2 linked regions of the Kluyveromyces lactis genome follow. The protein of the gene in region 1 purifies or fractionates together with the protein of each later gene. This does not show direct contact. Links are inferred from orthologs where the notes say so. Each region holds a gene or a part of one and is shown on either strand. Other genes may lie near its edges.

Evidence for each region. Proteins that work in one complex are often made in the same cells at the same time.
Region 2: the proteins of PET117 (region 1) and COX15 purify together in Saccharomyces cerevisiae (affinity purification with western blotting; 3 studies listed by BioGRID, with this or other methods). This does not show direct contact. The link is inferred for Kluyveromyces lactis from reciprocal best matches to the Saccharomyces cerevisiae genes PET117 and COX15.

What each region holds. Positions count from the first base shown.
Region 1 is NC_006039.1:730,224-732,177, reverse strand, and holds PET117 (Pet117p), read left to right. Parts: upstream 1-982; coding exon 983-1,294; downstream 1,295-1,954. Other genes in the region: putative isoleucine biosynthesis protein HMF1, read right to left, coding at 127-549; KLLA0_C08305g (PHO85 cyclin family protein), read left to right, coding at 1,953-1,954. UniProt on the Saccharomyces cerevisiae protein: Involved in the assembly of cytochrome c oxidase.
Region 2 is NC_006041.1:912,955-916,120, forward strand, and holds COX15 (Cox15p), read right to left. Parts: upstream 2,142-3,166; coding exon 657-2,141; downstream 1-656. Other genes in the region: MAG1 (DNA-3-methyladenine glycosylase II), read left to right, coding at 1-459; ATP-dependent Lon protease PIM1, read right to left, coding at 2,597-3,166. UniProt on the Saccharomyces cerevisiae protein: Catalyzes the second reaction in the biosynthesis of heme A, a prosthetic group of mitochondrial cytochrome c oxidase (CcO).

The DNA of each region.
Region 1 (1,954 bases):
TTGGGGACATGTATGTTAAAATTCAGTATATATTTATATACAGAATAGTCTATATATAAGTCAAAGCATTTCTATGTGTGACAGTAAAGGATAATATACTTCAGATAAACAAACGTATTACTGCAATTAATCCTTTTCAACAGCAATGACTTCCATTTCCAAGTCGACGTTCAATGGCAAGGCCTTGGCAGCGACACAAGATCTGGCAGGCTTGTGCACGTTAAAGTACTTAGCGTAAACGGAATTGAATTCTGCAAAGGAATTGATGTCGGCTAGGAAGATGTTAACCTTAACAATCTTGTCCAAATCAGAGTTGGCTTCGACTAAGATATTCTTAACGTTTTGGATAACTTGTTCAGCCTTATCAGCGATAGAACCTTCTACAGGCTTGTTTTCTGCGGTATATGGAATTTGACCGGAAACAAAGATCAAGTTGTTGACCTTGATAGCCTGGGAGTAAGAGGCGGCTGGTGGGGGAGCCAATTGAGTCTTAACTGGAGTCAATGTGTTCATTCTTCTTACAGTTGACTTGAGGGCTTGTCTAAACATAATCTAGGTGTAGAATGTAATCAATTATTAGAGGTTATCTGATGAAAGTTATACAGAAACAAGAATCACTCGAACTAGTTTAATATAAATATAAATATAAAATATGCTGCTTTTACTCACAATGGTCACCCTTTACTGGTGATTGGTAGTAAACGGGATAAATAAACTGTGTGGGACTCAATTTCAGATAATGATACTGATGAATTTATGTCCGCATATCCGGGTAACTTTTCCCTTTTTAATTCCCACCATGGCAAAACGGTCAGACATTCGATAATCTGAAATTTAGTATGATGAGATATAGATCAATATTGCAGTAATAATGATTCCGGCGACCGTAGTCAAACGGAGCTAGCTATTCTCAGCCTTTCAAATTAACGAGGAAAGAAAGAAAACAAAGGAGGAAATAATCGCATATCATATATCAGACATCATGTCTCGTGCTAGTAAGATCACTCTTGGATTAACTACTTTGTTCACAGCGACGATAGTCGTAGGTGTTCATCACGTACAAGAACTTGAAAGACAGACTTTACATCAGGGACCAATCAAAGATGCGCAAAGAGTAGCAGAGAAAAAACTAGCCAGACAGAATGGCGTAGACCCTGAAAAGGAACGTCAAAGAATGGTAAATAAGAACGAACATGAGTATCAACTCGAATTAAGAAAGAAATACGAACAGATGCAACCTTTGAGCGGGGAGGTTCGAACTAAGGATAACGAACTCATAGAACAGAAGAAGTGATATGTCAACACGAACATGTTGTATATACCATTAACCGTTTCTTGTAAATATGCATATGTAGCGACCCTCAAAACACTATATTATTAGTATTGACCTTATAGGACAACATATTGTGCACGTGATGTTGGTATGTTTTGTATGGGAACTTCTGAAACCGAAAACTACCAAAAATAAAAAAAAAAATAAAAGAGACAGAAGAATATTAGGGACTGCAACAACGTGTAGAAACAAGGCGAGTTACATAAGACGACAGAGCAAAGTGTTATTCGTGCTGTGGTCCATTATTATTACAGTTTTGAAAAGACATCTTGGGAAATTGATACTTAGTGGGAGGCACAACAATTACACAGGATACGATTGTTTTTTTTCCTCTATTTTTCCTCTTTTTTTTTGCGAAACGATTATTTGTTTAGTTGAATAAGGACAAGGGTTTATCTGCAATTTGAAATAAGGAACAGGTACCATTTTCTCAAAAGAAATAGTTTTCAGGGACCTCAGAGTGGAATCTGGCAAGGGCTCAAGAACTCAATAACGAATAAGTCAAACTAACGGTTTACACGCGGCACATTCTGATTTATATCATTCATAGGGATCTTGAAATCAGGTAGCATTGCATGTATCCCACCCCCCCTTCCTTGGATAAATAACATCCAATAATAT
Region 2 (3,166 bases), on another chromosome or scaffold:
AAGCTGATGTATATTGAGTCCTTGGTTGGATATTTTTTCAATAACGAGGATTCTATAAAAGATCTCTTTGCCTTTGCAGACGATGATAAAATCATCGAAGAGCTAGTCGCAAATATCAAGGGTATCGGACCGTGGTCAGCGAAGATGTTTTTAGTTACAGGTTTACATCGCTTAAATGTATTTGCAGCTGAAGATTTGGGAATCGCAAGGGGATGTTCAAGGTACTTGGAACAACGACCAGAGATCTTAAAGAAGCTTCACAGCAAGCGGACTCTTATCAAGAAATCAAAAATAAAGCACAAGAGTTTCAAGTGGAAAATCCACGATGAAGACGTGGTTGAGCTCTGTGGTGATTTATTTAGCCCCCATAGAACGTTATTTATGTTCGTTCTTTGGAGAATGTCGGATACTAACATGGAAGTTGTCATCAATAATGAGAAAAGGTTTATGTCGAAGTAATAATTAGAGGCATTGTAATTGCTGTGTATAAACAGTACACTTTAAAGTAAGGTAGGAGTTCACTGGTAGCAACTTTTGAGTATATATATTTACAAGATAACATTTAATGTGCTGCCCAGTGTTTATAATAAATAGGAAGTAAAGGGGACAAACAAGAAAATAATTGAAAAAAAAGGATCCATTCGTAGTTCCCAAGATCACTTCGCAAGTTTGGAAGCCTCAGTTAAGATTTTAGAAGAGGCCTTTTGCTGTTGTGTATAGAGTCCACCGGTGAGGATTCTAATTGCGGCTCTTGGTTTTCTCAATTGAGAAGCAAACAACAATGAACCTGTCAATAATGCCAAGGCACCAGCTTGGTGAGCAGAAGCTAGAGGGATTGGAACCAAATATAACAAGGTAAAAATACCTAGAGTGACTTGTAAAGTGGCAAGACCCATCATACCATGAGCAGTACGTAGAACTTGTTTAGGAATGATAGCCTTGTTTCTGTTACAGTACATGTGGAATGCAAACACAGCGAAGAAAGTGGTTGTAGCCAAAATCCTATGATTCAGTTGAACCGTAGTTGGGTTTTCCAACATATTTCTCCAAAACATATCACTCTTGTCTTCTTTTCTAGCAAAGTTTTCGTCGATTAATTCACGTTTACTTGGTACCCAATCATCACCCATGTGAGGGAAAGTATTGTAGATTAGACCAGCATCCAGACCAGCAACCAAACCCCCAGACATCGCAGTAACAAAGGTCAAAGCTAGTAGACCAAGTGCAGATCTTCTCAATGGAGCTAGTGCTGGGTTATCTAGTTTTGAGAATAAAACAAGAGCTTCGGATGGGTTTTTAACCCATTTGGCCTCTCTCAAGATCTCAAACCCGGTCCAGAGCATACCCATATATAACATGAAAGCGGTACCCAAATGTGTAGTCAATCTGTACTGTGAGACAGTCGGTTTGGACTTTCTTTCCTTCAATTGTGTTTCATCCAAACCAGACTTGACCATCCACCAACCGATAAAACCTTGTAAACCTAGTAGTGCTGATAAACCAAACAATCTTTTATTAACATGAGGTGATGTCTTCCTAGCGACAGCAAAGTAGACAGCAGGCAGAATGAATACAGCACCGATAGCACGGCCCCATAGTCTATGAATCCATTCCATAAAGAAAATGAACTTGAATTCATCCAAGGTAATATGAGAGTTCAACTGTTTAAATTCTGGAGAACTTTTATACTTGGTGAATTCATTTTCCCATTCCTGCTGGTTCAAGGGTGGTAAAGTACCAGCGACAGGTCTCCATTCTGTAATAGATAACCCAGATTCAGTAAGTCTGGTTAACCCCCCGAGAACGACAATACCAAACACAAGAATTGAAGTACCAACTAACCAGTACCCTACCACTTTTGATGAATTTAGCAAGGGTTTTGACTTAGCTTGTTTAGCCGTGGATGCCGTAGCTGTTGTTATACCATTACCAGTAGTTTGCGATACCTGTACAGCTTCCCTGACAATAGATCTGGTATGGAAATACGCCATTGAAACTGTTGGCAAAGCTCTCTTAAGAGCAACAGTGGGAATCACATTCTTTGTCTTTACCAAATTTGATATTGAACGGGTCATTAAACCACGGGAACTTATGCGAATACCGCTGAGGCCTCTGCCTCCAAGAACCAAAGTTCTGAACATAGTGATAACTAGGTTGTCAGCTTCAAAAGATCGAATCTGGCCTCTGTGGTTCAATACTTACTTCTGTTAATGTTACTAGTGAAAGGCTTCATCGTTCCATTTTTTTTTTTTTTTATATTGAGCCTGATCATTCCATAACGTGAAGGGAACTATATAAAAGCGTCAGCAGAAAGAAGCCCGATAAAACGTACTATTGAATAACGAGTTGACATGTCGTTATATTTGGCCAGTTTGTCGATGTTGTTAATATCTATAAATTCTCTATACTTATTTGAAGGCCGCATGGGGAATTCGTGTACGTTTTGTCTGTATATCCAAATAATCGTTGTTTAAGTAGAATGGTAGTACCTGGGGTTCATTCGGCGGTGGATTCGTATCAAATTCGTCTGTGTTTAGTTTACAGTAGTGTATATATTTACATGGGACTAAATAAGATAAATGACATTGGGTTTGATTTATTTAGTTTCCTTGTTGCGTTTTTCATCAATCTTCTTGAAGTCTTCTGACCAAACGGTGTTACCCTTGTTAGTGTCTACGTCTCCGAATAGTCTTTGGAAAACATCTTCGTACCAGTCTGCGGCCAAAGGTTCCAATCCTTCCTTCACATTCTCTGGAAGCTCAGCCCAGTCTGACAAATTGTCTTTGGGGAAAATGATAGTCTTGGCACCAGATCTCTTGGCTGCTACGGCCTTTTCTCTTAACCCACCGATCCTCAAAACTTTACCAGTCAAAGTCAATTCACCGGTCATAGCCACTGTTGGGTCAAGACCCTTATTCAAAGCCAGTGATAAGAATGAAGAGGCCATTGTCACACCTGCAGATGGACCATCCTTTGGTGTAGCACCTTCAGGGCAATGCAAATGGATCTTTGCAACTTCAAAGAATCTATTTTCTGGGAACTTCTTGGCCAAGTACATCTTTGAGAAAGAGTATGCTAGTCTAGAGGATTCCTTCATTACATCTCCAAGTTGGCCGGTACGTTCTAAAGTAGGTTGAGTTGAATGTGTCAAAGGCTGTTCTAAAAC